Schizosaccharomyces pombe: one gene and its partner. The protein of the gene in region 1 interacts with the protein of each later gene in a pairwise test. Each region holds a gene or a part of one and is shown on either strand. Other genes may lie near its edges.

Evidence for each region. Proteins that work in one complex are often made in the same cells at the same time.
Region 2: the proteins of cul3 (region 1) and btb1 interact in binary tests that used the Schizosaccharomyces pombe proteins (3 or more experiments, as listed by UniProt).

Annotation. Positions count from the first base shown.
Region 1 is NC_003424.3:485,196-490,567, reverse strand, and holds cul3 (cullin 3), read left to right. Parts: upstream 1-1,853; 5' UTR 1,854-1,952; coding exon 1,953-1,994; intron 1,995-2,050; coding exon 2,051-3,435; intron 3,436-3,474; coding exon 3,475-3,584; exon of another isoform or gene 3,585-3,636; coding exon 3,637-3,701; exon of another isoform or gene 3,702-3,745; coding exon 3,746-3,919; exon of another isoform or gene 3,920-3,970; coding exon 3,971-4,380; exon of another isoform or gene 4,381-4,436; coding exon 4,437-4,608; 3' UTR 4,609-4,845; downstream 4,846-5,372. Other genes in the region: gup1 (MBOAT family O-acyltransferase), read right to left, coding at 1-230, 306-552; TIM23 translocase complex subunit Tim15, read right to left, coding at 1,218-1,494, 1,539-1,789. UniProt on the Schizosaccharomyces pombe protein: Probable core component of multiple cullin-RING-based BC3B (BTB-CUL3-BTB) E3 ubiquitin-protein ligase complexes which mediate the ubiquitination and subsequent proteasomal degradation of target proteins.
Region 2 is NC_003421.2:129,649-136,109, forward strand, and holds btb1 (BTB/POZ family ubiquitin-type ligase substrate adaptor Btb1), read left to right. Parts: upstream 1-1,746; 5' UTR 1,747-1,868; coding exon 1,869-5,912; downstream 5,913-6,461. Other genes in the region: mRNA 5'-cap (guanine-N7-)-methyltransferase Pcm1, read left to right, coding at 283-1,365; sdh3 (succinate dehydrogenase cytochrome B subunit), read right to left, coding at 6,309-6,461. UniProt on the Schizosaccharomyces pombe protein: Probable substrate-specific adapter of an E3 ubiquitin-protein ligase complex which mediates the ubiquitination and subsequent proteasomal degradation of target proteins.

The DNA of each region.
Region 1 (5,372 bases):
GGAGAAGCAAAGTCGATAGTTGTTTTTTATAGCGAGTTCATCATTAGTATTTTTTGTGAAGACAAGCTTAACGAGTCTCCAGAGAAAATTATAGACAATAATTACAAGTAGTAAGATTGGCATATTTTCACGAAACGCGGAATACTGAAAATCAGCGGAATCGACTTTTTGTCCAAACAACCACCCAGGCTTTAAATATTTTTCAATGTTTTTGTAATTGGGATGTTTTGCTGACGCCTAGTTAGTTGCTTACTTTATTTCAAATTGATAAATAGAAAAGGCTGATTAAAGCTTTTGACACTTACGAGAACTAACATAATGAATTTTAAAACAAGCAATTGTTAGAATCGATAGAATGACAGAAAAGTAAAAAATAAATTCTATGGAACCAAAAGCGCTCTTTTCCGGAACTGCGCTTCGAACGGTCAAACGTGAAGATGAAGATGGATGACTTGAACCAGAAGTCGAACTTAACCGTGAACTTTTAGAATTGGGTCTTTCAGTATCTTTGGTCGAAGTCTCAAGAACATCAAATCGAAATAAACGTAACATCCTAGAAGTCTCCTACCAACAGCAAAGAAGATGGTCGGTTCTCAAAATATCATAGAGTAAACAAACCTAGTGGTGTTCACTAGCAAAATGCAAGACACTGCGTAATTTACACTTTGTGTCAGCTTCATAGTCCGTAAATAATTTTAAGAGTAAGGTAGAGAGAGTATGATGAAATCAATTATATTTTTAAAAATAATAAATTCAGTTTGTATTGTTTATTGGAATGAATAAAATAGTCAGCACTATACAAAACGCGCTATTAAAATAGAAATATTAATTAAGCATCTTTAAAGACTAAATTTTGATTTTGGTAAATTAGCAACTTATATATTGAAAAATGTTTTACATTCGTTTGCAATAATTCTGTATAGCCCATTTAGATCTCTAAAATCGTTAATTTTTATAATTAATTAATTAATTTATTTTTTTTTGGATATGATTTGCTCAATGATTGCTAAATTATCACATCTAGTCTAAAAATTCAAAAGATAATTTCAAGTTAACAAGCTCATATAATAATTAAATGTTCTATTAGAACGTCGTATATATTGACCAAAGTATTACAAAAATAAATAAAAATAATATATACTATAGAAATTAAAATAAACAATGACTATATCTTGCAATTTATATGCTCCTAAACCCAATTTGATCGCTCTCCTAGTTCATTTGGAAGAATTGGAAGAAGATGATTTTGCTGGTCGAATTTTAAATTGAGGGGGCTTAAATTCTACAACATTGCCATTGATTACTTGACCATAGCCTTTTTTAAAAGTTTCCCCTTTCTTAGCTAAAATGTCTTCAATCGTCACCCGTTCTTCAGAGAATATTTTTAAATGATCAGCCATCAAGTGCCGATTTTTGCACTTAGGACATTGAACTAAAACGGTCCCATTATGGTAGGCCTGCTTGGAGAAATTGTGATTTGACCTAGTGTTACATCTTTCATTTGGTTAGTATCCTTCAATGAAATTATAAATACTTACACGGTACAAGTAAAAGAAACATTATAAGTCGGTTTAGGTTGTAATTGATCAGCATCTGATTTTACAGAGGGAACACCACTTGCAAGATCTTTAGCATCGCTTTGAGTGAAGCGTTTGCATTGCCAATTAGAAATGTTTCTCACATTCGGGGAACAGAAAAGTAAACTTGAAACCTTTACCTTGTTTGAAAAATTTTTTAACTGCAAATTTCGTAAACAGAATTTTTGAGTATACCGTGCAAAGCTCCACATTATGTTTGAAAAATTTTTGTGTTCGGAGAATGTTGTTCGTAGTTAGTACCTTCTACCACCTTTTGTACCATTACTTCCGTCTGTGCTGGCGTTTCTTTATGCAAACTCATATGCCCATATATTTAGCTTTTTTGTTGAAACTTAACTTTAAATTCCATTATTAATGCAGCGGTCAGCGAAGTTAAAAATTCGAGCGCCACGAAAAGTAAGTGTACCTGATGCATGCTGTCCTTATTATTTTCCTCACATACTGACATTTAGTTTTCTGCTAACCAAGTAGACTTTGCTACACATTGGGAAGTCTTGCAGCGAGCTATTGGGGATATATTTCAGAAAAGCACATCTCAATTATCGTTTGAAGAGTTGTATAGAAATGCATATATACTTGTTCTACATAAGTATGGAGAAAAGCTTTATAATCATGTACAGGATGTTATTAGATCGAGGCTTAAAGAAGAAACTGTTCCAGCTATTTACAAAAACTATGACGCTTCCTTATTAGGGAATGCTCTATTGGATATTAGAAAAAATGATTCCTATTCTACTTCATGGTCGAGATCATTGGAAGCGGCTCATAGATTTTTATCGTCTTTAGTTAATTCCTGGAAGGATCACATTGTTTCAATGCAAATGATATCTAGTGTATTAAAATATTTGGACAAGGTTTATTCAAAATCTGCAGACAAAGTTCCTGTTAATGAAAACGGAATATATATCTTTCGTGAAGTTGTTTTGTTAAATAGTTTTGAAATTGGAGAGAAATGTGTCGAAACTATTCTAATTCTGGTTTATCTTGAACGTAAAGGGAATACAATAAATCGACCCTTAATAAATGACTGCTTAGATATGCTAAACTCTTTGCCTTCAGAAAACAAAAAGGAAACTCTTTATGATGTTTTATTTGCTCCAAAGTTTTTATCTTACACAAGAAATTTCTATGAAATAGAATCATCAACAGTCATCGGCGTATTTGGAGTTGTGGAGTATCTGAAAAAAGCAGAGAAAAGATTTGAGGAAGAAAAGGAGAGGTCCAAGAATTACCTGTTCACAAAAATAGCTAGCCCCCTTCTATCCGTTGTTGAAGATGAGCTTTTGAGTAAACATTTGGACGATTTGCTTGAAAATCAATCAACTGGCTTTTTCTCGATGATCGACTCTTCAAACTTCGAGGGTCTTCAATTGGTTTACGAAAGCTTTTCTAGAGTGGAACTTGGCGTGAAGTCTTTAAAAAAATACTTGGCGAAATATGTAGCGCATCATGGAAAATTAATCAATGAAACTACTAGCCAAGCGCTTGAAGGAAAGATGGCTGTTGGTCGTCTATCATCTAATGCTACAATGGCAACATTATGGGTTCAAAAAGTTTTGGCCTTATGGGATAGACTAAATACAATTATAAGTACTACTATGGATGCTGATCGGTCTATCTTGAACTCTTTATCAGATGCTTTTGTTACGTTCGTAGACGGATATACCCGAGCCCCCGAGTACATTTCACTATTCATTGATGACAATCTGAAAAAAGATGCTAGAAAAGCAATAGAAGGCTCTATTGAAGCAACACTTCAAAATTCTGTTACGTTATTTCGGTTTATTTCAGAAAAAGATGTTTTTGAAAAATATTACAAAACACACCTTGCAAAAAGGTATGCTTTAATTGTTTTTACTGTCTTTAACACTTTTAGGTTGTTGAATAATCGATCAATATCTTCCGATGCAGAGCTCGGAATGATCAGTAGGCTGAAACAAGAAGCTGGTAATGTTTTTACTCAAAAGCTCGAAGGAATGTTTAATGGTAAGTATTCAGACTTTAGCAAGTTTTTTTGCGTTCCCTTATTAATGCTTAGATATGAATCTTTCACAAGAATTGTTACAGGAGTACAAACATAATTCTGCGTTACAGTCGGCCAAGGTTAGTGGAAATTTTTATTGATAATCCTTTATACTAACAGTTAGCCTGCTTTGGACTTAAACGTTTCAATTTTGGCTTCTACATTTTGGCCCATCGATTTATCGCCTCACAAAATTAAATGTAACTTTCCGAAAGTTCTCCTGGCTCAGATAGATCAATTTACGGATTTTTATTTATCGAAACATACGGGGAGAAAATTATTGTGGTATCCTTCTATGGTATAGTAAACTTTTATTTGCTTGTTGCGTCACACTAACAATCCTATTTAGGGAAGTGCTGATGTCCGTGTTAATTTCAAAGACAGAAAATATGACTTGAATGTATCGACTATTGCATCTGTTATTCTATTGCTTTTCCAAGACCTAAAAGAAAATCAGTGTTTAATTTTTGAGGAGATTTTGGAAAAAACCAATATAGAAGTTGGGGATTTGAAGCGCAATCTTCAGTCCCTTGCTTGTGCAAAATACAAGATTTTGCTAAAGGATCCAAAAGGAAGGGAGGTGAATGCAGGTGACAAGTTTTATTTCAATGAGAACTTTGTTTCAAATCTCGCCCGGATTAAAATATCGACAGTTGCTCAGACTCGTGTTGAGGATGATAGTGAGAGAAAACGTACATTAGAGAAGGTAGACGAGTCAAGGAAGCATCAAGCAGATGCCTGTATTGTTAGAGTGATGAAGTATGTCTTTTTCCTTTTTTTTTTTTTTCAAACATTTTTACTAACAGTAAATTAAGGGATCGCAAAGTGTGCGAACACAATCAGCTGATGGCAGAGGTTACAAGACAGTTAAACCCTCGTTTCCACCCTAGTCCGATGATGATTAAGCGACGAATTGAAGCTTTAATAGAGCGGGAGTACCTACAAAGACAAGCCGATAATGGTCGCATTTATGAATATTTAGCATAGCAGCCTTAACTGTTACACGAAATGCAATATTCGTATACGAGAAATCATGTTTAAATGGAAAGATACCAATTTGTTCAAGATGATATCTAGCAAAAGCTTTGTGATTATAATGACACTCATGAATTTTACACCAACTTCCTTTTTATTTTTGAAAAAAAGAAAATTTTAAGTAATGCTATAAGAAGGTTTGAAAACAGGTAGATTATATTCCAAATCAATCAAAATTTGATACATTAATTCTGCGAGCAGATAGTAGAGTAATGAGTTTAAATTACATTGTTCCATATACATTGTACAAAAAGACCAAAACAGAAAAACCCTCAGTTTAAAATAGATTAAGGTATTTGATCAACGATAGATGGGAAGTGTTAACCTAAAAAATTATTATGGGAGGAAGCGAATTCGCCGTAAATACACTATCCTACACAGTATGCTTTTGATGATGACTCTACTAATAACATCGAAAATACCAGAGCAAGTAAAGCTCCTTATAATCTTTAAGGTGTTAATCAAATAATAAAGCTATGTATTTGATTTAGTATTGAAACACCTGGTTGTTTACATTAAGAATATTCTTCTTTCCTAACGGACTACGCTATCCTCTTTAGCAATCTCGGAAGAACCCCTAAAAATATCTACCGTTCAATGCTATTCTGTATATTCTCCGCTTAATTCTATTTGTTTAGGAAATTGTATAAATAACCTCAAATATCTTAACGAACCCCACTTGTTCGCCAATTTCATTTAATTGGTTCCGCGTACCA
Region 2 (6,461 bases), on another chromosome or scaffold:
CCACTTCGTATTGCAACATCTACTTTTCTCGCCAGTATACCAACCACACTGCAACCTCATGCTATTGAATATAGTCTAATTTCTCTAAGACAGTAAAGCAAGTTTTAAAAGTCATATGTTTTTGATCTTTTTTAAAGAAGTTTCTGTTTTTTGAATTATTTTGAAGAAAATTATTTGTATGTAAGTTTGTGATCGATGGATAGTCATCATATGATGGAAAGATCGTTAACCTTTGAAAGAAACTATTCTCATTTATTTATAATAATATTTATAATAAGAGATATGAGCAGCTCGAACTCCCGAGTGCATGAGGAACAGCCTCCAACAGAAAATCGCAGATATGCGAGACCTACTGCACAAATGAATCGAGTAATTGAACAACAACCAAGGCGTCGCGATTACTTCCAAAACAATGACAACTCTGGTCGCAGAGGTTATAATAGGCATGAAAACAATGGTAATGCGCAGGATGTGGTACGTTCACACTATAACGCGCGTCCTGATTTGGGTTATAAAAAACGACAATTTTCTCCTATTATTCAACTAAAGAGGTTTAACAACTGGATCAAATCTGTTCTCATACAAAAATTCGCACCCCATGCTTCTGATTATCCTATTTTGGTACTAGACATGGGATGTGGAAAAGGTGGTGATTTAATTAAATGGGACAAAGCTGGCATTGATGGATATATTGGGATTGACATAGCTGAAGTTTCCGTAAATCAGGCCAAGAAGAGATACCGTGAAATGCATGCTTCTTTTGATGCACTATTCTACGCTGGCGACTGTTTTTCTAGCTCAATTAACGAATTACTTCCCCCAGACCAAAGAAAATTTGACGTTGTTTCTCTACAGTTTTGCATGCATTATGCATTTGAAAGCGAAGAAAAGGTTAGGGTCTTGTTGGGGAACGTTTCTAAATGCCTTCCTCGTGGTGGAGTAATGATAGGAACGATTCCCAATTCCGATGTAATTGTCAAACATATTAAAATGCTTAAACCAGGAGAAAAAGAATGGGGAAATGACATATACAAAGTCAGATTTCCTGAATCACCTCCACGCTCTTTTCGACCTCCGTATGGAATTCAATATTATTTTTATTTAGAGGATGCTGTTACCGATGTTCCTGAATATGTAGTTCCTTTTGAAGCCTTTCGTGCTGTTGCCGAAGGATACAATCTTGAATTAATATGGGTAAAACCTTTTTTGGACATCTTAAATGAAGAGAAAAACTCTGAAACGTATGGACCCCTAATGGATCGAATGAAAGTCGTTGATAATGAAGGACACCGTGGAATTGGTGGACAGGAAAAAGAAGCAGCAGGATTTTATTTAGCATTTGCCTTTGAGAAGAGGGGAATTTAGTCTTTTCTTTCCTTATCCCACTGATTCACTGTGCAGACCGCATTGTAGAAAGATCTTTCACGCTCGAAAGATCAGTACAGTGGTAGAAAAAAAGATGACTTTAAAAGATGTAGATTAATTTTTGATGGCAATGACTTTTATTTATTTATTCATTTTTATGCCTTTATTCTTTCTTTTTCTGTTTTCATATATTTTATACATAAGTAACATGCTCTCTTTCATTCCAGCTTAAGCGAATAAATAAAGTATGCTCCCAGGCATATTTCATCAAATCAGATTGCCCCAAAAATTGCCTCAAATATTAAGCGATAGCTTAAATCAATGCACCTGTCGGTATTCAACTACCAGCATCCACTGCTACTCTTCTTCCATTTTTTCTTCAGCAACAGTCAAGTTAAAAAACTGGAACGTTTTAATTGATTTGAGAGAAAATTTCTTATGGAGTAATCGATTGATTAAATGATAAATTCACATTGCGCCCTTTTTTAGTCTCGATTGATTAAATGAGTCATCTGCTTTTCGCGTATTACCTTTGCAACGACATTCGCTCATTCCAAAATCTACTGAAGCAAGATGATTCAAAGGTGAAAGAGCCTAGAAAGGGTTTTTCGGAAAAGAGCGGACAAAAACTCCGTATCAACCAAAAAGATCGATACGGACGCACCGTGCTGCACATCGCCGTTTCTGAGAATAAAAATTCCTTTGTTAGATCTCTTTTGCAGCATAAAGGCATTGATGTTTTTGTGCAAGATGAAGAATCTGGATATACGGCGTTGCATCGGGCAATCTACGTTGGCAACTTGGAAGCAGCGTCTTTGCTTTTATCAAAAGATCCCTCCTTCAGATCATTGCGTATTAAAGACAAAGAAGGTCTTTCTCCATTTCAATTTTTATCACGAGTCCTTTCAAGCACTATTCATCCGGTTCTTGACTTACCGATAATAGGAAATGAACTTTATGGCTTTGGTACTAACGTAAACAATACGCTCGGAATAGCAAATGGGAAAGAACCTTCATCGCCAGAAAGAGTGTTTTTACTGAAAAACCAAACAGAGTCTCCCACATCAGGTCAACTCTTTTCCCGAGACAAAATCCTTGATGTGCAGGCTTCCAAATTTCACAGCGTCGTACTAACGGATGAGCCGTCGCAAAATGTTTACGTATGTGGTATTGGTGCTGGAGGGAGAATAGGTTTTAACACGGACGTTCAATATAACTTTATTCCTATTCCTGGTATCATTCATAAAGTTATCCAGATTTCTGTTAGTCATACCCATTCACTTGCTCTTACAAAGTTCGGAAGTATTTATTCGTGGGGAAAGAATGGTTCTGGTGAACTGGGACTTTCTAATGACGAACTGAAAAAGGATGATCCAATTCAAATTACCCCTAGGCGTATCTCTGCATTCAAGGATTATCAGATAATTGGAATGGCGGCTGGAAAAAGTTATAGCGTTGCTTGGACTGACACTGATATTTACAGCTGGGGGTTAAATAATGGCCAATTAGGTATATCTGATCATATTTCAGTTGTTTCTACTCCAAGGAGAGTTGCTGGCTTATTATCGCCTGTCATACATGCCGTTTGTACTACTCGTGCTACGATATGCCTTTTACAAAACAACAGTATAATTGCCTTTTGCAATTATAATCAAGTGAAATTGCCATTCAACGTTGACTTTGGTAGTTCGTTAAAGGTAACTAAGCATCCTCTTTCCCTCACCAGATTTAACGTTAGAAAATTATTAGCTTCAGAAAACAAACTAGCCGTGCTTACAGAACTAGGCGAAGTCTATGAATTTGATATGAAGCTTTTACTTGATCGTGATTCTACCTCTTCCAAGAATTCCACACGAACTTCATTCAAATTTACTCCATTATGGATTTTTGAATCTTCAGACCTTGCAGCTTTAGATATTGCGTGGACCGCTGATAATTCTTTAATACTATGTACTAGAAATGGCACTTGTTGGAAACGGGAGTTAAGGTCAAAAAAGCGAGAAAAGTCATCTAGTAGCCCGTATTCTAGAGGACCATACAAATATAATAGAATTGAAAATTTACAAATGGTTGTTGGAGTCCGTGCGAGCGCTTCTGGATCATTTTTTGCAATTCGAAATGATTATCTTCCACCGCCAATCTACAAGCCTTCGAATATGTTAATTGATCTTTTGCGCTCACTACTTCCCTATGACCACCTTTTACATGTAAGACAACCACGTTTGATTCCTCCCGAAGATGAAGACGGAGTCCCTATTTTTGACGAAGACCGCGCTGCATCCAGCAATGAGATGCAGCTACTTTTTGAAGGATCTATACCGATTCTTACTAGTTATGAAAATTATAAGCAATCATTTTCTGATGTTACTATTTATTGTGGTACTTCTATGTTCCACTCACATAAGTTCATATTGTGTGCTCGATCTTCATTTTTGAGAAAATTATTGCTACAAAAAAAGAAATCGAGTGTCTCCAACATCATTTACATTGAAGAAATCACTCAATCTCATTCAACAATTAGAGTTGAAGATATTCCTCCTTTAGCGGTTGCTATTCTTTTGCATTATTTGTACACGGATACATTGCTTTCTCCATGGCATCTTGATTCACGCTTTTCACCTTTAAAAGAAAACCTTTCAAAACTTGCAAACTTACTGGAGTTACCTCATTTAGCGGAGGTTTTACCGTTTAGTGTTTCCCGCCAACCTTTGCTTTCTTTAACGAATGACATTCTGCAACTATATAATAATTTTTATGTCTTATGCGAAGAAACAATGGATACAGTAATAAAGCTTAAAGATGGAGAGCTCAAGGCACATGGTCTTTTTTTAAGTCTCCGCAGTGAATACTTTAGTTCTTATTTCCAATTTGTTTCTATGGAAAGCAATAGTTTTGACATCCCAATAACCGTCAATTTGTCTCATTTGACTGTTGAGCATATGTCAATTGTTCTTCGTCATGTATACAGTGACTTAAAAGTTGAGCTTTTTGACGATTTGAAAGAATCCGATTTTCATAATTGGTTGGAAACTATGTTCGAAATTTTGTCTATTGCAGACGAGCTTCTTTTTCTTGAACTAAAAAGCATAGCCCAGCAATCCTTACTTCGCTTTTTAAATTTGAAAACTCTACCTACTCTAATGGATCTTTCACTTAGTTATCACGCTGAGGAGCTTTATTCACGATGTATTGATTATGCTTGTCACAATATTGAATTCTTTTTGGAAGCAAATCGTATAAGTGAATGGGATGGTTTCCATTTAAAAAAAGTCGCTCAACGTTTAACTGAATTGCTTTCTGATCAACGAGTACATCTTCCTTCTAGCAAGATTGCTAATAGATTATTGATAAGAGATCCAGTGTTGATGGAAAAAAGAAATTATGAGCTTAAAGTTCTCAGAGAATACTTGTTTTCCCAGGAAAGTTCTCAATTATGGGACGATTCCCCTTATCGGTCTATTTTTGAAGATCGTCGATGCAGCACTTCAGCAGTAATTTTAGAATCTGGAATTGTTCCTTCAAGTAATCAAAGTGATTCATTAAATAAGGAAGATGCTGAGGAGAAGTCTCCTAAACCAAATGTTGTTAACGTTACGAGCATTACAAAGACAGCAGGAGCTTCTGTTGAAATTCAAAACAATATAGAGTCTGCTTCGTCAGGAGGGGATAAAACACAATTAAATGGTCCTGGGGCTGATCAACCTGTTACTGCAACAATTACTTTTGACAAAACGAGTCCATGGAGGAATAGGGAAAATCTTTCTCATAATAACAACACTACTAGAGCTAGTCTTAGAGAATTGCTGGAGCAAGAGAAAGCTGATGCTTCAACTACTACGGTTTTGTCTGATTCTAGATTTATGAAAGCTCCAACTAAAAAATCCCAACGTGAGAAAAAAAAGGAGCTTTCAAAGCAAGTGCCTATTTCCAAAACAAATGTTGGCCACATCGATATCGAGTTGGGTAAATCGAATCACTCAAACCCTTGGTCTGTAGCAACACATCAGAGGGGCAGTTTTTCGTCATCAACTGGAGTGAAAAAGTCATTTAATGGTATTCTTAGAGAGGCAGCTCGAGAGGAAGGTTCATCTCAAGTAATTTATCAAGAATCGAAGAAGCGCATTTCCAATGGTTCTCCAACTAGTTGGAACCTACTTACTAAACCATCTCCCCGATCTGCTTCTTTACCAAAAAATAGCCAACCTTTATCGATTTCGGAGATTATGACTGAGCAGAAAGAAGAAATTGAGAGTCAAAAGAGGAGATCATCTTTTAGAAAAACAATTGAGGAGATACAACAGGAAGAGGAGTTTCAAAAGTGGTGGGAGGAGGAGAGTTTGAGAGTACAGAAAGAACTTGGAATCCTTAAAACTGAAAGAGATACCTCTACGAATAGAAAACAGGGACAAGCTTCTAAACAACCTCAACGAAGGCACAGAAAGGAAAAAGATTCCAAAGTGTCAGAGTCCACTGCGGAGTTTAAATCTCTTCCTATTGATATACCAAGGACTACTCACAAGAAAGGAAAAGCACGTGCAGTCAAATGACCATAACAACGACTATATACAAAAAATTCAGGACATTAATTTATTCAACTTATGAAGAGATACTTTAATAGATATGTATAAGAAAAAATATTTGCTACATGGTGAATTATTTATTAAGCTTTTGTTTCACGATACCAATCACACATTTTACATACGCTAAAAATTCAATATTTGAAAATAATAAAATTGAATAGGAAACTTTGGTCATAAAGAAATTCAAAGCACGTACGGAATGAATACAAGAATTCGATATACACGGTAATTTATAGTGTATCAAGGACAGATCCAATTGTAGTGGAAAAATTATAGGAGAAATGATGCTGCTTCGTAAATTCACTAGAGAAACCGTGACAAGCAATTACAAAACGAGCAAAGATAAGGTTTGTTTCCATTCACCTAAATCATCGCAAAATAGCCAGAGGTCAAAACGGAAAGGGCAAGAACAGCATAACCGGTACGATAGACACCCTTTAGACTTAACTCCTTGGTGGTATCCCAGATCAAGTGACGAATACCGTTAAAAATGTGGAAAGTCAAAGGATAAGAAAT